4 linked regions of the Lepisosteus oculatus genome follow. The protein of the gene in region 4 purifies or fractionates together with the protein of the main gene of each other region. This does not show direct contact. Links are inferred from orthologs where the notes say so. Each region holds a gene or a part of one and is shown on either strand. Other genes may lie near its edges. The genes, in order: stxbp4, wwc1, pdlim7 and tyrosine-protein phosphatase non-receptor type 14.

Region 1 (7,758 bases), on a different chromosome or scaffold from region 4:
TGCAGAGTTAACAAGTAAATTCCATTTATCGGTAAACTGTCTCAAAGTCAAGGGCAATATTTGTATTGGACTAAAAGAGATATATTCACAAGGCTGCTTGTTTACAATGTAATAGGGCCACAACACGTCACCAGAGGTTTACACGTCTCGTTCTGAATCGCACAACATGGCACTGCACATACTTGGAAATTGTCTTTTTTGTGATGTAAAGTGGAGGTTTTACAAGTTAATGTCCGCATTTTTGGTATGAAATACACTCATCAATGCTGATTCTCTCAAACCCCAAAACATAAAAATAGTGTTGCAGTTCCCCTTTAAACTGTCAGTTTCTCCTCCCATAGACAAGAGTTTGCTTCTTCTACTACACCGACCAGGTCTAATTCTTACATAGATCTCTGTTTGTTGAGGGCGGAAGTTCCACTGCAAGCTGGCGTGCACATCTGCATTGAAAGTGACTTTGATGACCCTCTCTCTTACAGGCTTCATTGTGGCAACGTGTTCTGTATCATGACCTGCCACTGCTGTCCCTCCAAGACCTGAAGCCTGCAAAAAAGGTTTGCACTCACTCACATGATCAATACAACCTCATTTCCCCTGTATGCTTTGAAAGGAATGTTGAGAAAGGAGGGAGATGTGACTGACTCAAGCATTTCGTTAAAATGATTTAAGTAATTGTTCCTTCAGAAATATTGCGGTATACAAATTTTTAGATGATCAAGATGAATATAGCTCATATTTGCATAGATATTTATAAATACACCTGTTGTAAACAGTTAAATACATCTTTGATTCATCAAAGTGTAGTGAAATATTGGTCTTGGAGGTCCAGTTAGGCTGCAGGCTTTCAATCCAACTGAGGTCTTAATAAGCTAAATCAGACAGTTACTGGTAACTAATTGAGCAGTCCTACCCAGCTCTGCAGGTGCTACTGCTTTGAAGATACCTAGAAACCTTGCAGATACAGTCAAGACCAGGATTAACAGACCTGATTTAAACTTATTTTTTACAATGGTTTGTGTAACGGCACAGAAATCATTTACAAGGTTTATAAAGATTATAGGAGCCAAATTGTATGCAATTAGACTGCAGCTCAAAAGTACCCAGCTGCAGTTCTTAAAAACATTAATCCTGCATATTTTCTAGGTTTCTTCAAATCATCCATAACTGAAGTCCTTTGAAAAGTGTAAAATTGGTCCAATTACAATAAAATAGCAGCTAAATTAGGTCAGTAAGAGACAAGGAGGAAAGAAAGCCTAGACCTTAAAATCATCATGAACAGGTCTTGTGTACCCATGATATAGCCTATTCGTTTGAATTTATCCAAGTGCACAGGTCTATGATCTTCAATTTCCCATATTTTTTTTTGTTCAATATGGCACATTGTCTGTTGTGCAGAAAATGCTGTTATTTAGACATGACTTATATTGACCAAATAGCTTATTAAACTAATTTCATGACAGAACATCAGCTTACTATTGTAAATTCAATTTACACAACTAATAAGACGCCCAAAATTGGTATGACGATGTTGTACATTCAACTTTAGGGGTCTTTTCTGGCAAGTGCCTTTAATGCTATCAGCAGGTAATTTGCCTCTCCATCATAATCAAAAGAGAACCATGACCATAAGATAATATGTTAGTGGAACAAAGTAATTAATACACAATCTCTTATGAACCATTATTGCAACAATTTGTATCCTATACCAAGACTTTCAAGCCTGTCATAATCTAAGAATGTCTACATGCTGCATGGTCTCAAGTTGGATCAGATATCCTTTGGTATAACTCTCATCCTATAAATCCTTACGCTACAAAGGGGAATACTACAGTTTACTGTATGTGCAGCAATAAACATTTTTAGAGCCAACAATTCCATAAAGTCCTTTAGGAACAAAAATCAGAGGAATGATAAACACAAGAGGCTTACGATGGAAAGATCTAAAAATAGACATCACATTGCATAGTGCAGATGCATGACTCAAACTGCACAATGTTCTCTGCTTGCCTGGCAGTACAGTCTGTAGAGAGGAACTGCAGCATAAGACATGCCAATCATGCCCACTCCAGCTGCTACAATGTAAGTCAGGATGGTCTTGTTTCTTTTCCTCCATTCTTCCTGCTGGTCCTTGGTAAACGGATTTCTATGGGCCTTCATTCCTCGAACCTGGGTTCCAGAGTGCTGGAGGCCTGTTTTCTGAGAAGGGGTGTGGTTTGGAGAGCCATGCTGACACCTTGAAGCCACCTGATTCTGAAAGGTTTTGTGATAAAGGCGACACTTTGACGTTAAAGCTGCCAAGTTCTCTGACCAGCAGAAGGACTTGCGGAAGAGAAGGTGCACAAGCATGTTGAGAGGTTTGTACGCTGCTATCTCTCTCGAGCAGCCCTTGGTCCCAGATTGCCTACCTACAAAACAAAAATCAATAAGGAGAGCCAATACAGCAAACATCTCCAGTTTTTTTTTCTTACTTCCGAATCCAAGTCGAAAATTAAAGTAACAAAATCAACTACATGGCCACCTATCAGTGCTGTTGTCATAGCAAGTGCATATTTTACAACAGGCAGTCATATCCTTTCAGTGAACCAAAATGTGCAAATAAGATAGCCGAGCTGTTAAATTTAGTTAAATTTGGTTAAATTTAACTGCTAGAGATTTTGCTGGGCATCATATCATAAAACCAAAGCTTTACATTTTGTATAGTTTCCCTCAAAGAGTCTTAACACATTGTTCCACTGCCATACACAGTGGGTGGTCAAAATACTAGGAGCCACCCTCCCTGCAAAAACAGAATGCTTTATTGTAATTTTATCTGCAAACGAGATAACTCACACACCTGTACCTGACATGACTGAAGGTGGGGAATACAGCAAAATAGGATACAACATTAGAATCGGCAAGACTAGTGAACTAAGATGCTTCAAAGGAGGTATATGGAAGCTAGATTAATTGATATATTAATAGCAAAGATCATGTAACTGTTAGAAAAGGTAAACACAGCAACAGGTGATCCAATAGCACTAGTAATGGAACTGACCCATTCATATTAAAACAAGACATGAACAGGAAACTTTGCCTACAGTCAAGTAGAGATTCTGAAAACTGATTTTATTCATTACAGGTTCTGACTGTAAGTACTAAGTTTTTGAGGTTTATAAAATTACATTTGGAGAACTTATAAACTTCCAAAATTATCCATTTTATATGGTTCGTTGAGTCCTACTCTCCTTTAAGGGTTTATGAAAGAAAGGTAAGTCAGCATGAAACATTTTCGTAACATAATAAAGGCATACAGCATAATATTACTAATGGTCTCACAAATGGTCTCTGTTATACAGTTGGAGGGATGAATCAAGCTAAAACACCAGTCATTCGGTCATCAAGAACACCCTATTAAAAGATTAGAAAGCCCATAGTAGATGACCAGCTTAATGACCCACACAAACATGGTGACCTTATTTAGATCTAAATAAAGTTGTGTTCCTGTTTGCTAAGACATTTACCATATGGTGCCTCTTGCAGGATTGAAAATAAGTTTAATTGGGGTGCTAACCTATATACAGCAAAGGCCAAGCCTTTTAACAGAACTTTTCTTGCAATCCATATGAATATCAAAAGATAGTTGCTACCTTTCAAACAGGTTAGAACTGTCCCCAAATATTCAGCCTTTCTATTTTTAATAAAAAGTATCACATTAGATGTTTCCTTATTATGCCATCTGATCTAAGAAGATTAGACCGTTTGCTTCAGCACTCTTCATTCCTGAGCTGATTTTCCTACTCAGTTCATACTGAACTCTTTTTAAAAAGCTTAATTAAAACAAGTTCTTTCATTACCCCTTTTTCGATACTCTCTATAAATATGGTTTCTTTCTGCAATGCGTGTTAGGACTGTTGCTCTTTTTAAATTTCAATGGACTGTACATTTTGTCCACTTTTACAATGTCCACAAACTGCACATGAAGTGCATTCTAAAACTACAGTAATAGCTTTTCATACCGAATGCGACAACAAAAAACGAGTTAATTCCGTTAAAATGCAACTAGATTAGTGATCAGGCTGATACGAATCACCCCTGGAGCAAAAATACATTGTAAAAAACATGTATTTCTATTAAAGAGAATCCTTGGTTTTCAATCAATAACGTAAACCAATCGATTCTTCCATTTTCTTTCCTTCGACGTTAATTCAAAGATTCAGTTCACAAACAAATGAGAACAATTCGTTTCTTTTTTTAATAGGTCAAGTAACTCGTATGTCCCAGAAACAGAAACGGCCAAACCAGGTAACAATACTCCTGATGAAATTGACAGCATTACGGGGCCTTACCTCCGATTGTAAAGCCACGAAAGCCAACATTTAATTCAAACCACCATTAATGCCACATTTTCCTGATTAGACACCTAAGTAAAAAACTAACAGCTTAGTTAAGCTCTCAGGGTCAAATCAATCGTTAAAATGACAATCCAGACAATGCAATAAATTGTAATCCATATTTTTATCCACAAAACTCAGCGTAATGGAAACATCCCCAGTTTTCAAAAATGTTAAATTGCATAAACCAAATACTAACCTGAGATACAAGATGTACCTAAATATCATAATATAACAAAGATAGGTTATTCAACAGTGTACAGGGTTTACGGTCCTACACGTTTAACTATTCCTCCTGGCACCAAAACTGGGGAACTATGGTTCCGAAACTCCTAACATAGGGATTGACCTTGTTCAAACTTTTAATGTGAATGGAAACGTAAAGAAATAGTTTCATATAATACTAGATGCCCCAAATATAGCTTTTATGAAGACGTGTATCTAAATCATTATCATATAAAGGAGCTCAATAATAAAATAGCTCGCAAAATACAGTTATTATCTACATGAATTTAACTTTCAATAATGACCAACAACAAAAGCAATTTATCGAGGCGCACACGCTTTTGTAGTTTGATGTTAAGCGCTAGGCAGTATGGGTAAATTAGTCGAAAGCGCTACTTATTAAACCAAAAAGGTAAGAATTTATTTTATCATGCATATATAGCAAGTCATTTCAAAATAACGGAAAGGTTGACTAAAGGTAGCTCAATTGTGTTTTCTTTGCAAACTCTAAGTTGCCAGCATTGCTACTGTATTTTAAAATTCATGGACAGCTTGAAAACTTGTTGAACAGACCGTATCAAACAGTAACATCTGAGACGTTAGTAACACCGTTACTATTGTTTGTAGTCAGTGCTGAAAAGTGAGCTCACATTTATCTTTTGGATATCTAGAAAAACGCTGCGGGTTTTGTCCATCGCGCATCTGAATTGAATTCAAAGTACTGTTAAATGCACAATTGTCGGAGTATTCGGAGGAATTTAATGAGTATCGTTGTTTCGTCCTTTTTCTCGAAACGAACGTAGTAGTTTAAACAGTAGTTTGATTTACTTTACATAAAACAACTATTCTGCTACGAGAACAACTTTAATTATATTAAAGGATGTACATCAGTTATACCGTGCGCATAATTGCCCACACTGTAGAAACGTAATCGAACCTATTTTATCACTTTTGTAAAGATCGCTACAGATGTTAAAATTAGGTGTTAAGTTGTGTAGCTTAAATGAAGAGAAGTTATTACAAAATATTGCAAGTTAACATTAACTGCCTTTTTAGATGACTAAGGGTGTTGAATTTGCTCGTAATTACTGGATACACTTGAAATTGGATGATCTGATTTTCCCTTATGTGCACAATTAATTTGTTGTAATAAACAGACTTTAATATTTTAGTTTTTATAATTCATATTGAGTATTGCTCAAAACAGTTATTTTTATTGATGAATAGTTTCCAGACTTATTTTTCTGTTCAAAATGTTATCAATGTATGAACTTGTTGCTAAACCGCAGTCCTGCACGGCTGTGCAGAAAAGCGTGTTAAGGAGCTCAGTACAGGAACAAGATGTCTTATATGTTATGAACAAAAAGCACCAGTTTCCAGATATGGAAGGTATGCAATATGTTTTCGTATTTCCGCCCGCTACGTTTGTGTATGCGTATCGAACAAGGACAAAGTCACATATAAGAAATATAATAGGCAACAAATAAACACACCTTTCTGTGTATGGGTTTGTGTATCTTATAAAGTAACTTATTTGGAAATAATTGAGTAACTGACCAGCCCTAACGTGGGCTCTGAGGAATGAAGACACAAGAAGAGGTCTGTTACATTATGTACCCCATACACGAATAAAGTAAAGACTCCCTGAAAAAGTGGATGTCTCTATAATTTATACCATTATGCCGTGGCATATGGAATCCAGCAGGTTTTCCACGTCGCTTTAAATCATCAGTAGCTTAAGACTGTTGAGAAGGGATAAATGGGTGCTTTGGTTAAATCTTAATTGGATCAACCATTTCCCTAGGTGTAGAGCCTGGCAGACAAAAGTATTCCACTGTTGATCTGCTAGTGTACCTTGAGAATGGTACTTTGCCTCAGTTCACACTGCTATATAAACAAGGACTAGCATTGCTGGGAGGGTTGATCCCTGTGATTGGACTGGTAGACTGTCCAGGCAGCAAAGTCTTGTGCTCTTTCCTCAGCTTAGAGCTACAGAAACCAAGATAAGCTTTGGCCCAATTATACCTCAGATATTGAACCAGCAATTACTAATAGGTACCCATAGTATTAATAGCTGGAGCCTGCTACTACTAAGTCTGCCGCCATAGATCTTATCTGATCTCAGTTCTCAGACTACCTTTGAGAATTGATCCAGTATTGTACATGTATTGGAAGACGGTCCTTCTTACCCAAGGGGACAGAACATCCACACAGACTTTACTAGGCCAAAGTTGTTGGCTCTGGAATGTAGGTCATAATCTGCCTTATGCTTACAGGAGTCAAGTGCTTCTAAGTAAACCAGTGCACATAGTCTAGTTGCTCCTGCAAGGTTGCTATAATCTGAAGACTGGCCATCCCTTGTTGTTCCCTCCTTCATGGTCTCCCAGAGCCTAGGTCCACCCCATGGTGTATACTGTAGCACTGTGCCAAACATCAGTTAGGCAGACCTCCCAGAGAGATTAGGAAAACAGTGGAGCTATTATCAGCTGGAACTGCATGCCTTTTGTGACTCTCAGGATATATGTGATATTCACTTATTCACCAATCTGGCCAGTGTTTACAATGACTGACATGGACAATTGCTCACTAACTACCATTCAAGGTGGCACACTCTCCCTGGGTGGCTCTGATGAAGGATGTAGCCTTGGACATTGGCTGTACTGGTTCTAGTGCTCCTAGTGACTGTCTATGAATGTGTGTTTTCATCTCCACCACCTGCCCTGCATAGTGTTGGTAAAGCAGTTCTCTGCTGCTCTCAGTCATTTTTCCTCTACTGTCCACCTGGTGGGTCTCTAATCATTTCGCTGTGATGACACCAAAAAAAGAAAGACACACAAAACTGAGAACTCTATTATACCTTGCATGTCTAGACTCTCTTTTCAGGGAGAGGGCTCACTTTTTCTTCCCCTCCAGTACATGGTTCCAAACTCAATCCTTTCTGCCTGTATGAGTAACCATGGTAACTCCATGGTTCAACACTAAGGCCCTGCCAGCCCTCGCCCTGATAAAAAACCTCATCACATCCTGACTCACTCATCCTCCATGTGTAGTGGTCTCCAATTCTCATAGTTCAGTTCCTCTCTTCAATTAATAATTTCTACAGTATAGTTTCAAGTTCTTTTGCCAATTGGGTTAATGGATATTGTAGTTTAAGTATTTTGTT
Region 2 (6,943 bases), on a different chromosome or scaffold from region 4:
TCCACGCAAACCCCTTTCCAGCCGTGCTGTCTTTGCAGAGGGCAGAGAGCAGACCCGTGTCCTGCCCATCGCCTGACCAGGACACATCGTTTCCTTTTCCCTTCTCCGGTCTTTTCCTGGCAGCCTGCTTGTGACCAGCGCCGAAATCAGGAAGTGAATTCCCTTAGTGGCGTCTTAAGAAGTAAAACCTTTGCACCACGCGAGAGCAATGCACACACACGCACGCACGCAAGCGTGCAGAAGAGCAATAAACGGGGCGTCCTGGGTCGAGGACAAAACAAGGCTTTCGCACAAGCGAGACATTTAGGGATCTGGTTTGAACAACGCGCCTTAAAACGACACCAATGTGTACCCCAATGTGTTTTGCTACCCCACGTCTGTGCACGCACCTGCCTCTCTCTGGTGACAGCACATGCACCAGCTGGCTGTCGCGGCAGAACAGACGGGAGATCACAACTGAAACGACACGTCACGACGTTATCTAGATCCTTTACAAAACGAACGCTTAGGGCTACGAGTTCGCCCAAGCAGCCGGGCGGGCGGGGACCTGCAGACCCCAGACCCCAGCAGATCCACGGGGGGTAGGAAGAGGACGGGATGCGACGCCTTTTCCCTTTTCGCAAGGCTCACCTCTGGGATCCTGTAGTAGTCCATCTCCGGGGACCAGACGCGCCTGCGGTAGAAATAGTTCCAGGCGATGAACAGCGCGGAGCCCAGAGCCGCCACCGCGGCCGTCAGGGCGATGGAGATGCGCCTGAGCAGCACCATGTCTCCGCGGCGCGACGCGCGGCATGAGCCGACAGGCCAGCAGGCTGGGTGACCGGGTTTTAAAAAAAAAAGAGAGAGAAAGAAGAAAAATCAGCACATCAGCCGAGACACGTGACCGAGATAAAAAAACTGCTCGCCCAGCACACGCCCGTCCTATCGCCGCTCAGAGGCGAGCGACACACGCTGACGACACTTGGAAGGGAGTGACCTGCCTGCAAACTGGCTGAAGTTTCGCACAGGAATAAAAATAATAAAAAAAAACTTGTTAGTCCAGCGTGGTCCTCCTGAATCCAGAGTGAGTGTAGCGCATCTTAAGGACCTACCCTCTTATTAACCGGTGGTTTCGGATCTCCTGGGTTCGGGTATCTTAGGGTTTCAGGTTTGCCGCATGAATGAATGTTAGACACTTGAATGCGAGTCTCTTCCTAATTTTGAGTTCTCCCTCCCAGCGTTTCACTGTGCAAAGGCAGTGCTTCAGGAAATACTCGCAGACATACGACGTTTTGCGTTTCGGTAACTAGCAAGGCAAAATCGTGGGCTATTTTTAATTTTTAGCTTAAGGGTGAAGAACTATTTCTGAAACGATTTGTTTTAGTTTTTTTTTATTTAATTGAGGACGGCTGCCAGACGGTTAAAGCTGAAACAAGTCCTCTCACATCGGCCGGCCGGCCAGTCCGGTCTGAGATCTCAGCCGAGGACCTTCAACGCTGGCGCGACCTTTTCTCCAGGCGACGTTGGTGTGGAAAAACGTGTTGGGAGTCGACCATCTCTACACCCTGACCAAGACTCTACAGACTCTTTGGTTGCAAATAATTCCAACACTAAACACCAGCGCGCCGGCACCAGGCATATATCAATACTGCTCAATAATTTATCGATGTCACTTATTTCCCCTGCACATTAGCGAACAGGGGGGCAGCAGAGAAGACACACAGTGGTCAGTGCAATCGCTTTATATAACCTGTTATTGGGTGTTACTAACTAGGGCGAAGCAAAGGGGAATCAAGCAGCCGATCACACCAAGAGACAACAATATCGTTTTCTACGAACTCGTTCCGTTCTGCCGTTCTGTACACCTTTATAAGACCATATAAAAACCGCTCACCGCATCCCTGCAACGACGAGTCGCTATGACTTCGGGGCCAATTTCGGAAAAAAGGCGAATTTCTATTAAAAGGACGGATGTTCATAGGTACAGTAATTGGAATTATTCTTCATTATCATCATTACTATAACGAATGAAATCTTTCGAGTCCCCCCCAAGGCAAAGATTGCTTTCAGGAAGTAGGTACAGCCGATAGATGGTGCTGTTTAATTATTATTAATTAACCTGATTAACGCTTTCGCTGTGAGAGGTTTACACTGACACCAGTTAAACGGATGGGATGGACTTGAACAAGCAGGTCACAGCTCCTTACTTCAAAGGATTTGAACCCACGACCTTGCATGCCGAACATCTTTCTTTGAGGAGCCTCTGCGCAATACAGCCACCTGAGAGCTCGCATTAACAGCTGAGCGCAATACAGCTGTGGTGACATGGTAAAGCCTCACAATGCAAATATTTGTCATGTATTCATGCTCCGTTATTGTGGGAATCTTAAATCGTTTTCTAAACGAGTGCTGCGTTACCCTGTGTCCGGAAAAAAAAGTACCCATTCTGTCAATCCATTTTCAATAACCGCTTACTCCAATAGGTCACTCATTCATTAGATCTAGTAAATGCTGTCCAGGACAGGGCTGTGGTTACTCATTAATAAAGTGTGGTAAAAGTTCTATGTTAAACAACTCTTATGTGTCAGTTATTATTCGGCTGTCTTTACTGAACTCCTGGCAAATACAACTGGAGCGTGGGCGTCAGGTCCTATATTGTAAACCAGCAGATTCACAGTTAGAGCACAGCTACCGCATATCCATTGACAGACACGGATAGTTCCACCACAGCAACAGATGTCTGAGAAAATCCACAAATGAAAAAAAAAACGAATCAATTTCTCTTCCGACAAAATCAATACGATGTGTGTGCTGATTTCAAGAAACCCGTGTTTTTGTTAATGTATCGTTAAGAAGTCGTTGTTTTTATAATAGGTTATCGCTGTACTGTTCAGATGAAATTAAAATGTAACCAACATCGACGTTTGAACACGAAGTGTTTTGGGAATTGAGCTTTTTAAAGGTTGATAAGTGTTTGTGGCAACAAAGTTACTTTGTATTTTGTGATCCGCAGGTGTGTACATATTTATTCACCATGCAATATTGTAACTTCGGGCGTATTGATGTCAGCGCATGAATTTCGCAATGGGTCGCAAATTGTAGACACGCAGCTGAAGGAGGCGCAGCGACATTGCGCTTCTGCTTTCTGCTGTTCAGTCTGAAACTAACCTCTCCTCTTCCTCTTTTGCACCCCTCTCACGGTCACAGATCTGTACATACGCTCCGCGGTTTATTCGTTGATGCGAATTTCAGCTCAAACATTACTTTCACATTCGGACGCGAGGCCTAGTGATCGGGTCTGCGCGATGTTATGGTATCAGGTGCCGGACAGGGCGCTGTAGTTGTTGTTGTTGTGTCCTCTAGCTAGACATTTCGCCCAATTATCCCCATTTTGCACGTACAATATATACGTCTAGAAGTAAATCACTTTGCATAAAAGTGTAATCAGATTAAATGGGGAAAAAAAAACACTTATGCCAACTACACATTATTTCTCAAATTCCCTTCCTTGGACTGTTTGAGATGACACGATTACACGCCCTTAAAGGGACCACGGAAAGTCACGATTAAGCGACGACCGTCGATTTCGTGGCATTATTAATTTTTCAGCAGAGAGTTCTTCGGACGGTTGGACTAACACCTTAAGCTTTTCGTCGGTATACCCGTTTGCACCCTGATTATATTCCAGGTTTAATCATCGCCGCGTCTGCAGAACAGAGAGATTATAAAGGCGTTATAAACAATAAGATGCCAATGGGCTCACAAACATTTTACAATAATGAGACATTTTTCCATGCTTTATTATTACCTCACCAAAAAAAAAAAGGGTCCCGATGATCGGCATCCCCAGCAGCTGTTATAGCGTACCCTTATCTTTCCATGATTACGGCGCACATTGCAAGCTACATCTATTAGTGTTATTACGGTAATCACCTGGATGACGTAACCCTACCCGCAGCATCACGACAGTGAGAACCAGTACACAGGGAGGCAGGGACACTGTCCCTTTAAGAAAAACATTTCCCCCCCCCCCCGTGTGCGTGTGTATTTTTTAAAAACAGAAATCAACAATAAAGCTAACTGACGAAAGCGCGTTGTCGGCGAAAGAGTGGAGCTGTTGGACGAGGCACAGACGGGCAGGAAAGCCGGGCGATGCCCATCTGGAAAGCGCTCTGAATTTGCGGCGTGGAGAGGAGGAGGAGGAGGAGGAATATGGTGGCCACGGCAAACTAAAGGCAGGTTTTGGACAACATCGAAGCCAAGCCGCGGAAGGTCGCACCGGGCAGCGATGGAGTGGCGGCGAGCGCCGGGGGACTGGGAGCTGCGCTGGGGGACTGGGAGCTGCAACTGGCGGCTGTGCCGTGACCAGTGAGCCCTCCGGCGGGGGAGGCTGTTGTCCGCGCCGGGATAGCCGAGGCGCATGGAGTAAAACGTGGGTCCCGCACCGAGGGGAGAGTGCCGTCGGACGAAATACTCCCGGCCGAGGCGATGCTGGATAATCCGCCCGACAAAGTTTTGAATTGTTGACGGGAATCGGGAGCGGAGGAAGACCCCCCCCTCGTCCCCCGCCTCTCCCACCCACCCGAACCCCCGCCGTGTTGGGGGGCACAAGATAATCATCTGGATTTTTTTTCCTTTCTCCCCTGCTGTTGGGTTAGCTGTCGCTTTTTTTTCGTTATTTTCTACCTGCGTTTGGAGAACTCATAGCGGGGGGGAAGGGGGGAGAGATCGTTCGTGAAATTAACGAAAAGAAAGGAAAAGGCGCATCAATACGAATTATTACTTGCTGGAACCCTAACTTTTTTTTTAAAAAGTGTTGACAGGTCGCTTGCTTCACCTGTTCCATCGGGAGGGGGGCCGTTCACATTGCTGTCTGGACCGTGTGCTGTGTCGATTCCTCTCAGGTGTACCTTTTAACGGCATCTTGTTTTTTACACACACACGCAAAAAAAAAAAAACCCACAAAAAAAAGGCATCCAGAACAAAATTACATGGAGACTCGCCTGACATGCCGAGGAAGGAGTTACCATTGCCGCAGGGTTGGGAAGAAGCCCGGGATTTTGACGGGAGGGTTTATTACATCGACCACATCAATAAAACGACGAGCTGGATCGACCCCAGAGACAGGTAGAGATCGGGCAGGAGGGGGGGATCCACAGCACCTGCGTGTAAGGAAACCCGGGAGACAAAGTTTCCTTTCTTCTGCCTGTGCGCGGCTACATTACCTGCTACTCATAAGCCGCCGCTCCGCTTAGAAAGTTCAGTGGCTTTGGCGCCGGGGATCCTGCGCTAGCCGCCTCACGGCGAGGGAAAAGGATTTGGGATTTTAGAGGGCTAGCTAGGGTTCCCGACGTTCAAATCCGTCTGTGGGTCTCCCCTTGTCTATACCCACCCCTTTCTGCTTTCTCCTCTCTCTGGTGATTTTATACCTGACCCGCCGCACGCCAGTTTTTATTATTTTTATTATTTATGTTCTCAAGAGCAGATCAAGTGTTTCATGAAACGCAGATAACGCTCGTATGCAAAAAAAAAAGTTGCAGAAAAAGCTCGGTACTGAACCGTCGAGTCGTTTCTCCCTGACGAACGAGGCAGAGTTCCGAGAGTCACGGCGAGGATGACTCGGACGTGCAGTATCGTCTTTCTCGTTTGTAGAAACGTGAGCATTGGAAAGCAGGTGCAGTCGGGGCGGAAAAAAAAAGTCCTTGCTTTCCATCCTAGAGTGAAAATGAGGATGGCACGGCGCTATTGCATTAGTGGAGGGGAGTTTGAAACGTAAAGTCATGTTTTAAAATGATTAAAATCCTAACGTTGGCTCCAGTATCAGGACAAGCAATTAAGGGAATTATAGAAGCTTTGAATGAGCAAATGCTTTCGAGTGGGGATGATTTAAGGTGACTTTGTTATCGTTTAATCCAAAGGTTTGCCATTAGCTCTGTGGTAGATATGTTCCAAAATTTTAAAAAAATGCCGATCATTTGTAAAGAAGTCACGAATAACAGACATTTTGTCATTTGGAGTATTTTGGAGGGGCCTTCATGAGCTGAACTAATGAAATCAATTGATGAAGCGGACGATATAATCAACTTTATATTGTTTTTTTTAATTTAAAAAGCCAAATAATTCAAAGTTAATGAACTGATGTTTACGGTCCCGACTTGACATTTTCTAGAATGTATTGTGCTCCAGAAAGCCTGGCAAGAGACGTGCTGAAAGTTAGAACTTCATCTCATGAGACACACTGTAAGATAATTATTTTAGCTCTAGTTGGTGGTTTATTTCGGTCTCGTCCACAACCGTTGTTTTCTGTTTTATGATTGTTGCCCTGCACGAGGGGTGGCGCATCCGGGTCCTCGGGCCCCGGCACCTCGAGAGCTACACGTCACGTATTACCTGCCAGGTCTGAAAATAAAAAACATACTTTAGTGCTGTGTTTTTGTAGCAAGTAAACGTAAGATAAGTTTTAAAAATACAAAGGGACAACTAAAAGCACATGGGATGTATTCAGTTTGAAACATTGTCTTTAACAACAACAACACAATATTTTAAATCCGTAATTCTTCTAAGATTACTAACACATTCCAGGTTTCACTGGCGTACTACAAGATCCCCCACAGAAGTGGTCTGAATTAACACCTTAATCCAAAGAGGTGCGCTTGTGCTTTTATTGCTACTCAAGCCACGTTTGAAATTCTGAGAGTGCCGGACGCCGATGCGAGGCTGGGTTTTATTGCCCGGTGGAATGCAAGAGGTCAGCCTGGTCTCTAGGATACGGGAAGGGCAGAAGCGTAAACACGCACCCAGAGCCGCATTCCTAGAATGCATTTCACAGAGAAGGGGGGGCGGACGGAAGACAGGGTTGCGCTGAGCTGAAATTAAGTGCTTAGGTACATAGCCATTAACCGCCATTACCAGACACTCCCCATGAGCAGAGCTGAAGCGCAGGACGTACTAGTGGGCCAGGTCC
Region 3 (6,986 bases), on a different chromosome or scaffold from region 4:
TCTGTCCTGGTTTTCTTACCTGGCTGATTGTGTTCTGAAGCTGAACCCAGAATGTGCTTACAAAGTTTTCTTACAGGTCCCAGACAATCTCCGACTAAGTATTTAGGAAATTAATATATAAATTGATTTCATTAGCATGTGCCTCCTTAAAACAGCTCCTATTATCCCTACAAATTCAACTGATATACAGCCGAACGTTCAAGAGGTTGTGCTTGAGATTTGCAACGTTCCTTGAAAAACTAGGACTGCTCTCTGACCCCGTTTTCTTCAATTACTTGATCCTGCAAAATGTACATATAAATTTGCATTTGAAACTTCACACAGATGTGATACTACACAAGAAAAAGACTCAAGTTAGCCTTTGTGTCGATCCTGATCTTCATTAGAATACGTTGGCAAAGCCCAAATCAGCAGACTGCAGCAAGTTCAATTCACAGGGGACAGGAGTTAGCATTGACGTACAGTAGAATACTTTCAAAAAGCAGACAAGCCACAAAGTTCTGGATATAACGAGCCCTTTTAGAATATCATACAAACATCCCCATATTTAAGGAATTACGGTAGTCTGATCAAATAAAGGCGAGTTTCAATATTTCAGCATCAGACGGGTAGAACAAGGGTCTTAACTGATCAATGTTATGCAGATGGAAGAACAATACCCTGCAACATTCCTAGCATGAGTGTCAAATAACACAGTCCAATGTACACAATTCCTTTCAAATATAAATGGCTAATTCAACAGTAGTATATATATATATCACATGGCAAAACCCTCTTTCAACAAAGGCTTCATAAAGGTCAGACAAAAAAAAAAAAGACATCCAAAGGATTTAGCACAATTACATCTTATATTTTTATAAGCAGTAAGCCGTTATATGAAAAGCAATTTTCGTCTTCTCACTACAGAATGGTGCAACTAATGCCAAGAGTACCACCAGCTGAACACCAACATGCACACACACCCACAACACAGTACATGGTCCAGATCAAAAACTCATTGGAACTGCCCTCTACACGAGAGAAATTCTGTAGCTGAGCCTTAAAACCTACAATACTCACCGCAACTCCAGCTGACTTTTCTGACACACTTCTGCAGTCACTATGCTAGTGTGTTAAACCATGAAAACCTTTCCTCATATGTGTCAAACTCAGAAAACTGTGAGCGAGGGTAGGTCAGGAGAGTGAAGGTTTGTAAAATACACTATTGGCATGTAGCATGGTAGTGTTTCTTGACCATGTTACAGAGATCTGATTAGCTGTCGGGCTCAGGGAAACGCATTGATTTTCACTTAACCTCAGTAATGTAGAACCAAAAATGTGAGAAGAGCTTTGACCACTGAGGACAAGGCATTCAGCGATGTTTACGAGGTAGAAGGGACCTCCCATATATCCAAGAATAAATTCTACATTCCTACATTTTTAGGATATAATAAAAAAAAACCTCTGGTCTGAAAATTACAAATGAAAACTGTACAGGCAGCTGTATGGAGTAGAGGTTGATGCTCTGTGTTTACAGCAATATAATGTATATGGATTTCAAGGCTAGGTGAGGCACTACTGTACTTATAAAGTAAACATCAGCAAAGTACACCCCTCAAATTACACCAGTAAAATACCTCACTGTATAAATGGGTACGTTAAAAAACTGTGAGGCGGATAAATGACCAAAATCAGGTTAGCATACCTGCATATACCAAGATCTATTTCAGAACAGAATGCCATTCACAGAATTCGCAATATCTTTCCAAGATAAAGCATTACACAAAATAACGCTGATCTATACAATACAGAAAGAGATTCTCTTTTCAGAGGGCACTAACGCTAAAAAAACACCTGCCCTGTCCTAAGGTGATAATGCAATTCCAAGTTCGTTAGTGAAGTTTTACATTGCTCGGTTCGGACAACAATGAAAGTGTTGTCACGTTTCATATATTGAATCTGTAGGACTTTAGATCTTTATTTTTGATCGACGTCACCATAAAAACACTAATGCACTTTTTTTGGTAGGGGGGTGACAATTATATACAGTACCATCTATTCCTTTTCATACATCTTAACCACAGCAATATAGATACTAAACAAAACCACATCACTTACAGCCCCCCCCAAAAAAAGACATTAACAAATAATATCGGTGACCTGACGAGTGTTTGATCATTTCAGGTTAAATGTTGACCCAAGCAAATAGCTAAGCAATTCTTGAAACGATAGAGGAGATCTCGATTAATACATAACGTTTGCTTGCTGGCATGCAATCAGAAATTGACACTTTTCTTGTCACATTAAAACTATTTGAATAATATTCAAAATGATATCAGTGCGTTTATTTTGGGACAATGTGTGCACCAACTTAAAAAAAACGCAGCATAACTTAACATCCACGAACATGAAATATCCGCTCTTTTAGCACTTGAAAAAAATGCTAAGTGCACGATCTTGATTCGCCTTTACACGAACGGATTCACAGCCAGCTTACAAAAGGAAACTCTCAAGAAGCTTTCGTGATCACAAATCTCGACCCACCCAAATTATCCACGCAGCGTTGCTCAGACTTGCAAAGATCGCGTTTGATTACTTAGGTCTAAACGCAAAAAAACCGCAGATAACGTCCTTATGAAAACACATCTCGTCTGTGCAGAAGGATTCAATCTCTGAGCACCCTGCCCTATAAAATTTAAAAGAACAATTTACAAAAAGTTGAATTAGGAAAAGAGTGGACCACTCCCTCTTCTCCGCCTCCAAACGCCAACGCCAAACAAAACTTCCATTAAAAAACTTTTACTGTATAGATATTACCAGAGCCATGTAAACGTTTTTTATGAGAACAGAACACAAATATTGTGTAACTCGCAAAAGCAATCGTGTTATATGGCAGTTACCTCCGGAGCCTCTTTCTGGCTGGCGGACATCGTTAACGATCTTTTTTTTTTATCTTTGCACTTTAAAAAAGTTAATTACTATGTGCTAAGTTTTCCTTGTAAGCCAGTCCAACTGTATCCACGAGCAGCCGTAAACTTGCCTTCTGTTTCCTTTTATAGACAAGGAAAAACCTACAGCCCGGGTGACGTCATTGGGAGCGCTGCCACGAATTCTCCGCGCTCCATCTACAGGTACAAGCTGGCATGGGACTGCGATGCGCTGCGCGGTGCTGCGCTCTCCCATCTCGCCGCTCAACACACACGTCTGACCTGCAGCCAGCTCGTCTTTACAACTAAGCACCTAGATCGTTTTGCTCGACGAATCCCAGCTGCGGAATAAAAGTGGTGTATAATTTGCAGCGCTCGACTTTTCCATGACCCCCCATGCTAATCATCGACTTGAGAGTGCTGGTTTTATGATGTCCCTGAACCCAGCTGAAATGTCATGTTGGCATTTTATTTTAGCTTTCGGGATCCCAGTTGATTTCTGTAGTGTTAGCAAATGTTTGTTTTGGGTTTTTTGCTAACAATACAGAACGTTTTTACATTTACAATTTACAGTAAATTTAAAATTCTTTGAATGTCTTCAAACCCAAACCACGTTGACCCACGTTTATTCTGTACGAACCCGAATGCTCTTGTTTACTTTTCTCTTTTACTTTTTATTGTGCTTTTCTTTATCACTATGTACAGCACCCTGGGGTTTGGAAAGGCGCTATATAAATAAATGATGTATTACTGTTAGTCTTGATCTTCCATCATTTCTGTATAATAACATGACACCCTAACCAATTCAACTCCACTGCTGTTTGGCAAGAGCAGCGTTGACCACAATACTTCAGTCACTGCAATACAAAAGACAATACGGTGCTCTGGAATCAGTCCAGAAAAGAGCAACCACGCACATTCCTGTGGTTCAGGGAACTGTCCCTCCCTGACAGGCTGAAGGAACTGAATCTTCTTAGTCTTGAACAGAGAAGAAGGAACAATGTGATTCACAAATTTTGAGCCCCCAAAGACCACGACAAAGCCAACCCAACAGACGTCTTCAGAAGCAAGAGGGGAGTATTTGAATATAAGGACACCGGTAGGAATTATTGGAAAGTTCATGTCACTGAAGCCGACGAAGACCCTGGCTTATTTCACAAAGCAGTCGGATGTGATCCTCCAACCAGCAGCCAAGCAAGTTAGACTGGTTGAATGGCCGCCTTTCTTTTCCTTTGTTATGTTCTTGTGATACAATACCAGTGTGCGCAGGGAGAAGCTAGTTACAGTATGAATCCACAACCTTAATCACTATCCTCTGCCACTAGTTCATTATGTAACTTCTTTTAAAGGTGCTTATGTATTTTATGCATACAGAATCATTCCTATAAAAATTCCGAAGCGTGCTTTTTTTAGATACAGCTTTCCTCATCACTTGCCAGAAAGCCCTCCCAGGTAACAAACATTTGTCAGTTATCCGACAGTGAACAGAAGACTACTTTGGGTGAAATGCAGCTCTATGTTTTCTTTTGCTGCCTTGAGTTAAACTCCAGTGAAGTCTGTTTTTTTTTTGTTCTTAAAAAATGTACCTAGAAAATAAAATTGAGCATCCATTTTTTGCCAGATTATTTCCTCCTCATGTTCATCAACTAAAATACCTAATATTATCAGAGTTCAAATCAATCTATAGTGTACTGTATTTACTAACACCACTGCCTCTTTGATATAAAATAAATTAATGAGCTGTTTGCTACAACAAAACATCAAACACATTTCAGCTTCACTAATGAAAAAGCAACAGAAACAATCAGATTCTTCCTTGGGCCAAAAACATGTTAAAATCTGGAACGAATCGGTTCCGAACGAACGAACCGCAGAAAATAAAACCCAAGAAAAATCAAGTCACACTTTGGAATTCCCAGATTTATTTCAAATCAAGATTTTGAAATGTTTCTTTGAACCAGGAATTGCTTGATCTTTGTTTATGTGCTGAACACAGGTCTTTGATCTGAAGAATGCTTTATCAGACAGGAAAACTATTCAATACAGGTCTAGCGGAGTTCTTTTTCTGTGCGCTAGAAAGTGCCCATATAAGGAGATCACAGATCTAAAAAGCTGCAGGAATGAATCTACCTAATTATCACTAACCTGAAGCATGGAACAAGCCGGCTCTCTGAAAAGGAAATGTTTATGTAGATTTAAGCATGGCTGCCAAGAAAAGACAAACAATGTAGAATTTAAAAAAAATCTCAGGAATCACTACACTATATAGTTCTCCACTTGGTGCGTCCAAAGGAACAATTGTTATTCCATGCTAGAAACGTAGTGTTGTAGGAAAACTGTTTGCATAATTCTTAATATTTAGGGCAGCATTGTGGCATAGTGTTTGTTATTGCTGGCTTTTCACACTAGAGTCCTGTGTTCAATTCCAGACCTGGGGTGCTATCTGTGTGGAGTTTGTATGTTCCCCCTCCGGGTGCTGCAGTCTTCTCCCACAATCCAAACACATACTGGTAGATTCATTGACTTCTGGGAAATTTAGCCATAGGTGTGATTCCGCACTGCCTTTTGCCTTTGCACTGAAACTGAAAATGCTGCCACAGCTGAATTTTGCACACAGCTGCTATCTAAACGCTGGTTGAAATTATTGCTGCTGTGCTGTTGCTTTCTCCAAGAATTGTGACGTCATCCTTTTTGTCAATTTTGGGGATAAATGGTAACATCCTTTGATGCCTTTCATGGAAGCAAGTACAAATCCTGGTTATGGACAATTACTGTTCTTTATGACCCAGTGGAGGTATGCTGCATAAAAAAACAACAGTGTCGTGAACAACAGAGCTAAGTGCTCCAGGCTCAGGTCTAGGGACCAAAGCACTCTGTGAGAGACCTGAACATTTCCGAGCTCCTTAGAAGGCACTCCAACAGATCCAGCTGTAGGGTGCAGTCAATTCTTCCATCCCTGGTTAACTATAGGGTCCCAATGCCCTCCTGCACACCCACGATCAAGATGATGAGAGTAGACGAGAGAGCTGTTAGCTTGATGCGCTTTACAGAAGCGACTTAACCTGCGAATGATAGGTTTAAATAAACAGGGCTCCGAGTAACCTATGCAACTGAACTGCATTCTAGATTATAGCGGCTGCCGTGCAACAAAAATTAACCATTGTTCAACTTTCTACTTTTTTTAGAATCAAAACATTAAAATGTGCAGCAACGGAGAGGATTCCCAGTGTTCTGAAAAAATTATAACGAATGGCATCTTTATTTTGTATAAGTTGTATTCAATTAGTTTCAACAATCTTCACCCCAAGCTAGTTCCTGTAGGTATAGGGCAATAAACTGTTCAAAAAGAAAACCGATCATTTCAACTGGGAGTACACTTGAACTTAAGGTCGTTCACTATTTCTGAATTCTAAATGCACTCACAATTTGAAACGCAGTGTTGTTGAATTTTTAGCATCTTATATAAAACCCATTCTAACATGTTAAATCAATAGAGACAAAAATTCAGCGGTTTCATCATGGCCAATAGACAAATCAAACCTTGGCTTCGCTGTTTGACATGACTAGAGACATCTAGAACATCTGCTTATTGTTTCCTATTCATAGCTCAGCGGGTACCTTTAGGATACGGTATTTTATTTCTGTAACAGCGGGCTAAACATAAGACATATCTCGTGTATGCCTTCATGTACTTGTTAAAAGAAAGAAATGAAAAGTATTTAATGTAGATTTATGTACATGACTATTTTCAGAACAACTTAATTCAGTACAAAAACGCCCAGAGGCTCTGGGCTCTATATGACTGTAACAAAATCAAGATCAATAGTTTGCGGAACTTCATTTTTTTGTACATTTTGTATTGTGCTGTCTCCATCTCCTGGCTACCGGGAGTAATGCAGAAGAGGAGATCACTTTACCATCGCCAGAACTAAAAACATCGGGTGTTTGAAAGAATGTCACCCTTAGATTATTTCCGTGTATTGGAATATTACTTTCTGTATTCGATACAAAATATACAAAATTAATCTCCAGCCCCTCCAGTTATTGAAGTTAAAAGAGGAGGCGTGAGATGGTGTTGTT
Region 4 (6,951 bases):
CCTTATGAAATTAAGTAAAGGACCTACACACGCACACATGAGTGCGTATACAATATACCTGTGTTTACAGTATTTCCAGCCCGGTGATGTTCTCCACTCCTCCTAGGGCCCCAACTCTCATTTTCCTTATACATTTGTTCGTTACCAAAACATTACCCACTGCACTAAATAGATTTTGCCAGAGAGGGCTGCTCGAAGGCTCTTAAAAATGCAGCTAATACGGGTCTCAAACACCCTTATTCTTTCAGTCAGCTTCCCTGAAACTAAAGACAATACTTTAGAAGTTCACTCTGGATATTAAATAAAGAGCTGTTGATAACGTTTGTGATCACTGGCCACAAACCCAAAGGTTCTCATCTCTGTTTATACTGTCTTTGTTGTTGGAGTATAGATTCTATGAGAAGAATTATTTCTCGACAGCTCCTGAACGCTATTTCTAACGCTGTATTTGAAAATAATTCACATTCTGTAATAGAGAGATAAAGAAAATATAGAATAAATTAAAAGTATTGGGGGTACACGGCTTTTGTATTGAACTTGGAAATAACGTTTCCTTTGTGAGCGAAGTCATAAACGAAAACATACGGTAGTGTTAAAGCTTCTTGCACCACATAATGGATATTTGACTGAAGACGAATACAACGAAACCATGGATTACAAAAAATAACTGAATTGTGTTGTATGTATGAATTTCTTCATATTAAACACTAATTGCATTTTCAAATTTTATGACACTACTGTCTGAAGCGTGAATATTGTTCGTCCATATTAGGAGAAACATTGAAATAAAATGAACCGGGCCATTACATAACTTGCGCATAGATATATCTTAAGAAGACCACAAGATGGCGGGGTTCAGCTATCTTTGCGACATTTTACAACGTTTTCTTTTGCCTAAACAAATCTCAGAAAAAGTTGAAAGCAAATTATAAGGGAAATGCTGCATTTAAAAGTGAAGGGACTCACTTTTAAAATTAAACATCAAATACCTCAAAGGCCTATCTACATAAAAGCATAAAATTGTTTCTAAAGACTAGAACAATGAACAGCCATCAAAGATTAAGGCCAGTTATCCCTCAAAGTTGAGACGTTTTGAAATCCTGTGTTTATCCAAGATTATTTACAACATATAAATACGTCTTTTTATCTGACCACTAAACAATAAACAAACAACAAAACTGACCAAATAAATATATATTTGATCAGGCCTATACAAGTTGAGTACATAAGCTGATTTTAGTGACTCTAGACACCTAAGGACTCTGTTTTGTCAATTGATAAACAAAACCTCAAGTCCAACACATAATGCCAACCTATCCTGTCCTATAGAAGTAAATTCAATCACCGGACCTCCAGGTGGTCTTCTGTGGTAGCTATGACAGTGAGAGGTGTCTATGATTGATTTCTAGAAATATTTTATGCTTCTTAACCCCTATGCGTTACTTTGACCCCACACATCTTAGGGTTTTTAATGAAACAGTTGCTAGTAGTGTACAATGGATGTGAATAATGCCATTGGCTAGAAATAGTTTTAGTTTTGAGTTTTAAAAGTAGCAGACTCTTGTACAAATTGCACAAAGAAAAAAATAATGTACATTTCATCATCTTAGTTTCACATCTCTAAGGTGTTCCGTTTAAATGGAAAAATGAATGGAGCCTTTAGTGTTCGTTCATGTACTGTATAGCAGCCTGAAACTTTAAAAACATAATCTTATAATCACTAATAGTTAAATTCAACAAGTTTTGAACTTCTTGCAAATTGTTTATTGTATAATAAGGTATAACATTCATAACCTTTTGCTGCTTGAATTGTTTGACTGCGCCCTGCAGGTCCTGGTTGCAGATAATACTGTATGTGCCTGTTTGTGCCTTGGTTATACCACTGCAATCAAGATTTGATTAGTTAGTATTCAATAAATTCCTGACAGCTACAGAATTACTGAAGACTTTGTGTGCTGAAACTGTTCTTCCTCCTAATTAATAGGAAGACTAAGCTAGGATTCCAGCTTCTGGAATGCAAGACTGACTTTATACTGCCAGTTTAAATTGTTAAAGAGGCTTCTGGACAGTTTTTTATTATTACTAGTAGTATTATTATTAGTATAAGTACTATTATTATATCCAGGGTGACTTGTTTTTTCAACCTATGTGCATGTACAAAAGGAGTAGATACAAGTTACAAAAAAGACCGAGTTCAATTCAATTTTATTAAAGGAAAGGACAATAAAACCAGTGTAGAAAGTGCAACTTGAGTACTGCACAAAATAAAATTTAAAAAACGTGTCCTGCTTTGGCTGGCAATTTCGAATTGGGAAATACACTGGGATTCTTTACAAAACAATCACAATCATATATCACTTACAATAATGGGTAGGCGATTTTTGGAATAACAGGGGACCCGGCAAAACCCGGCAATATGCTACAGGGGTCACGTCACATCAGTTTTCTTATGTCCATTCACAGTCACGAGAATGATTTTGTTGTGCTTAGGATTGAGAATGGTACCTTAATGGGTTATTTTGCTTCACTTATATCAGTTGTCTGTTTTTGCATTTTAAATCAACTGGGTTGTTGGTAAACTGGTGAAGGCCTTAAAACAGACACATGGGTCAAAAGAATTAGAAAACTCATCAGATGGAGTTGAACAGGGCTGAGCTACTGTGGGCCCGTTATGTTGTTATGAATCCTAAGCTGCTATGAAAAAAGCAAAAACACAAGTAATATTTTAGACACTCCAAACTGAAATCCATCTACAGTGTGTGCCTAACAGCGTATATATATATATCCTGTTGTTTATTTGAGCTCCTCAAAAAACACTCATTTAATAACATTGTATTAATATTGTTATGGAAAAAAATAGAGGTTAATTCAAGGCTGAAAAGTAAAGAAAATGAAGATATACTGTTCAACTTTTCAGCTGTGGGGGAGCTCTGTAACCTGAAAAAGTCCCAGTCCCAGTCCAAAGTCAGATTTCTTTGGGCTATACTCAGCCATTCATCTCTGATGTTTTTCTCATGCCTGGATTTTTTACATAGTATGGAAAGCTTGTGCTTTCTTGTGCTCCACTCGAAGGCCTAACAAAATTATAGTGTAAAAACTGCCTTATTTTTTATGCAGTGTTACAGGTTCAGAACTGTTTCTTCATTCAATCTTTGGCTTTGCAAAAAAAACAACAACAAAAGGCCCCAGTCATCAGTTGTAGGAGCAAGCTGTCGTAGTACTTAATGGCTGGACAAGCCAAGACACATACTGTTAAAGCTTTACAGAGTACATCAGAGGTACAAGATACTGTTGATTGTCGCAAACAGGTACTGGAAAGGAGCCTCAGTAAAATTCATTTTGAAACATTTGAAATTTGACGTAGGTTTGGCACTTGTAAAGCTTTGAGGGTAATCAGCAATACTCCATCATTCATGCTGAAATATTCAACATTACTTTAGCAATATGGGCTGGCTATGCAGTAATAATCCTTTTAAGTTTCAAGAAGAAATTGATTCAGATACACAACGAAAAGCTAGTAAAATACCTTAGAAGCCAAGAGAGGAGCTTGTGAATTTGGCAGTGATAATAAACTGGTTATAAGAAAATAATATAAAAATGTGATAGGAATATTATTTCCTAATACTGAAAAGTTCGAATTTAACAACATAATTGAAACGCCACATTAGTCTCCTAGTCTAAATTTCGTTTAGCCCGACGCAGTGGTGCATAAAAGCTCCGGTTTTTGTTGGAGTGTAAGTGCTACTGCTATAGGTAGCCTAATAAAGTGGGAAAATATTGAGAAAAAAGCTTGATACCTATGTAACACTCTTAACAACTTAAATAGAGATGACTTTTTGCTTCAGGCGCTCGCGTAGAAAAATCGCTTTTGAAGAATCTCGGATCTGGCCCTGTAGATTGTTCTTTGCATTGTATTGTCTCCCTCGTAAACCATTAAGAGAGCTCCCACTTTTTCGTTTGCACCACATTCCTGGGATTCCACAATTCTGATGTCAGAAGGGACGGCTCACACTTCTATCTAAACCTATACGCTTCTCGCGTCTCTTGGGTGATTTCGTGGTTTAAAATTATCATATTCTAATTTTCAGATTCACGGGGAAGGAGATCGCAAACTGCGGATTACTGGGCGAGTTTTAGGCATACGCGCGTTTTATTATTATTATTTTTTGGTACGGAAAGAAAACTTTGGATTTTTAACCTTGGAGTAAAAGTAGATTTGAAGGCTAGAAAGAACGTATTGAGTCTTGGTGTGGAAAATTATCCACATTTAAAAGTTTTAAAACGACTTTTCTTTATTTTTCGGAAAGAAGGATCTATGCACAGTAAAGGAATCTTTTTTGGGATTGTGGAACCAGTTTCAAACTTCAAGATTTGGATATACAGGATATAGTGGGATTCCTGCTTAAGGGAAACATACAAAGAAGGCATGTAACGAGTCCCGGTGGGTATTTGTTATTGTTTTTATTTTTTGGTCTTTTGTTACTTTCTAATAAACATCTAACTGCAGAACACTTTTTTTTCCTCGGCGAAGAACGAGTACACTCAATTAAGATTTTCCGGTTTTTGCTACTGCTTAATTTTCAAGGGAAAAGCCCAACACGTTAAAACAATGTTTCGTAGTTTATCGCGTTTTCCATAGCATATCGCCAGAAAAAGTAACAACGTTGAATAGAAAATATTGAAAACGTTGCATCTTACGAACAGTTTTCTCTGTTTCTATTTTTATAGCGTCGACATTATAGGGCCTTTTTTTAACAAAATACCAAGGAAAATACGACCTGTGCTTCCTTACACGAGGAGTAACGTGTAATAAACCATTTCCCTTAATACCTAAGGCAGAACATTTTTATAAATTCAAAGCTTAGCCTCATTACACGTGTTGTATTAAAAAAACACCGTCCCAAACCTTTCATTGGCGTTAGACGGAAAAATGGTAATTGTTAGTTATATTCCCTCTCCTTGCAGAATACCTAGACTGCAGTTTGTAGCCTACTGTTAGCAGTTGCTAACGGCTGTTACTTTATGCAAGTTAACTATACTTTAAAGATGAGATAAGATTTAACGTCAAACCATTCTATAAAGCAGCATTTTAAAGCACCTAATAACATCTTCCAAGTTTTTCTTGGTTTAGATGTTTGAATCGTTTCCTTTAAGGCTGCATACCGTAATCAAAGGAAATTAACATTTTAAATCTAGGCAAAATAAGTTTAATGAGCGGTGTGAAATAGCGTTTTGGGTTCTATACTTGATGTTTGTGGGTTCAGATACCAGGTGGGATGCTGTTGTACCCTTGAGCAAAGCATTTCGCTCAGATTGCTCCAATAATATTCCCCAAAGCGTCAACCAAATAATACTTACGTTTAAGACACAATAGTCAGTTGAACCTAAATCAGTTAATTAAATACAATTTCAAATAGAAGGTACCTGTACTGTTGTCTGGTTCTGTTAGTCACAAGGTAGTGTGACGTCAAAGGTTATGAAGAGGATAGCTTGTGTTTTTTGATTCTCTGTACTGCTTGCAGCAGTTGCATATGTCACAAACGTACCTGAAGTTCATTGTGTTAATAACATTATAGAGTTATGCAGAATAAGTTCTGAAACTTTAGGAGAAGGCAAAATATCACAGCAGAAACAAAACCATACCCCAAAGAAACTTTGAGATGTAGTTTTCAGGGTTGGGCTGAATCTTCACTTCTACTAGTTATTTGAATGTTTCTGATATATCTTTAGTGAATAGCAGAAACCAAGTGTGCCTAGTTGGAAAACGGTTAAAATGTTTGTGTAACAACTTAGTAAAAAATATTTATGCTTCCTAAACTTACCTGTTTTCACTACTATGCCAAAGGTCTGGACTTTTCCTGCAGAGAAAAAAAGTGATTTGCTAACCAATCTGGTATTCCTGGACAGAGAACCAATCCCTGATTATAAAATACTCTGACAATTTAATTATAATGGGTTGTTTTATTTACATGTCCATCCTTTCCTTTTTTCAACCGCCAGCACTCTGCTTCTCAAATGCTTTTGATGTTTGAAATGGCAGCATTGACTGAAGAACATTTAAAGGGGCCCCCCTGTTTCCAACATTTCGCTTGCCCATGTCCATCTCTCAGCCTGTGTAGTTCTCGACTGCTTTGACTGTGATCTAGGTTGGGTGAAGTCAATATCATACATTTTAAAATCTATTTGTTCTTTACGATCTGAAATTGTAGTCTGCCCGACTGTGTGTTTCAGTTTTGTTTCATTGTTCAGCCAGACATAAAAGATTCACCTTGTCATCTCTCTTTCTTCTTATTGCGTTCTGTTATACTGAAAATCTTTAATTTAGGCTTGTGTGATCAAAAGATTTATCTCACTTAGATTTTATTAGGCAAGTGAGATAAGCTAGGTAAATCAATGTGAATTTTGTGTTGATCATTTTAAGTCATTTACTCTGTTTAAGGCCTCAAGTTATTGTTCCTTTATAGAGCTTTGCCATGTAACATACCTTGCATCAGTCTGCAGAATTACAGTTTGATGAATGAGTTTAACATGCTGCTTCTCCTTCTTTTGTACATCCTGTTGTATGAGCTTCAGGTGTTGGCCTTGAGTCTTAAGTATTTTTTCCTTAGTCTCCTGTTTCTTTTTCCTTTTTTTGTTGCACTATGTTTTTTTGGACAGTTTTAAATTCTACAATGATTATGTTTTGATGGGATATTTCATTATGGACTGAAATACATGCCGAACTATTTCCCATTTGGATTAAATATTTGCATTGTCATTTATTATTTAAAATAAATCGGTGCAAGCTTTAACCTGGTAAATGTCATCTTAAAGAGAAAAGGTGACCAGAATTGACCAGAAAAATTACTGAGGTCAGTCTTTATGTGTAATACCTCCTTTGACTTATAGTTCAGGTGGGTAGCTGCGTCAGCATGCGTAGGCTGCAAAGGAACAAGTAATATTGTAGGTTTA

The links.
Region 1: the proteins of tyrosine-protein phosphatase non-receptor type 14 (region 4) and stxbp4 purify together in Homo sapiens (affinity purification with mass spectrometry; 3 studies listed by BioGRID and IntAct, counting the BioPlex papers as one, with this or other methods). This does not show direct contact. The link is inferred for Lepisosteus oculatus from reciprocal best matches to the Homo sapiens genes PTPN14 and STXBP4.
Region 2: the proteins of tyrosine-protein phosphatase non-receptor type 14 (region 4) and wwc1 purify together in Homo sapiens (affinity purification with mass spectrometry; 7 studies listed by BioGRID and IntAct, counting the BioPlex papers as one, with this or other methods). This does not show direct contact. The link is inferred for Lepisosteus oculatus from reciprocal best matches to the Homo sapiens genes PTPN14 and WWC1.
Region 3: the proteins of tyrosine-protein phosphatase non-receptor type 14 (region 4) and pdlim7 purify together in Homo sapiens (affinity purification with mass spectrometry; 3 studies listed by BioGRID and IntAct, counting the BioPlex papers as one, with this or other methods). This does not show direct contact. The link is inferred for Lepisosteus oculatus from reciprocal best matches to the Homo sapiens genes PTPN14 and PDLIM7.

Annotation. Positions count from the first base shown.
Region 1 is NC_090704.1:38,283,945-38,291,702, forward strand, and holds the start of stxbp4 (syntaxin-binding protein 4), read left to right. Parts: upstream 1-4,758; 5' UTR 4,759-5,007; intron 5,008-7,758. Other genes in the region: cox11 (cytochrome c oxidase assembly protein COX11, mitochondrial), read right to left, coding at 388-543, 2,008-2,346. UniProt on the Homo sapiens protein: Plays a role in the translocation of transport vesicles from the cytoplasm to the plasma membrane. Inhibits the translocation of SLC2A4 from intracellular vesicles to the plasma membrane by STX4A binding and preventing the interaction between STX4A and VAMP2.
Region 2 is NC_090706.1:40,160,355-40,167,297, forward strand, and holds the start of wwc1 (protein KIBRA), read left to right. Parts: upstream 1-3,940; 5' UTR 3,941-4,987; coding exon 4,988-5,106; intron 5,107-5,204; exon of another isoform or gene 5,205-5,223; intron 5,224-6,943. Other genes in the region: arl10 (ADP-ribosylation factor-like 10), read right to left, coding at 631-768. UniProt on the Homo sapiens protein: Regulator of the Hippo signaling pathway, also known as the Salvador-Warts-Hippo (SWH) pathway.
Region 3 is NC_090706.1:37,404,945-37,411,930, reverse strand, and holds the start of pdlim7 (PDZ and LIM domain protein 7), read right to left. Parts: upstream 3,014-6,986; 5' UTR 2,910-3,013; coding exon 2,880-2,909; intron 1-2,879. UniProt on the Homo sapiens protein: May function as a scaffold on which the coordinated assembly of proteins can occur. May play a role as an adapter that, via its PDZ domain, localizes LIM-binding proteins to actin filaments of both skeletal muscle and nonmuscle tissues.
Region 4 is NC_090697.1:21,522,767-21,529,717, forward strand, and holds the start of tyrosine-protein phosphatase non-receptor type 14, read left to right. Parts: upstream 1-3,944; 5' UTR 3,945-4,441; intron 4,442-6,951. UniProt on the Homo sapiens protein: Protein tyrosine phosphatase which may play a role in the regulation of lymphangiogenesis, cell-cell adhesion, cell-matrix adhesion, cell migration, cell growth and also regulates TGF-beta gene expression, thereby modulating epithelial-mesenchymal transition.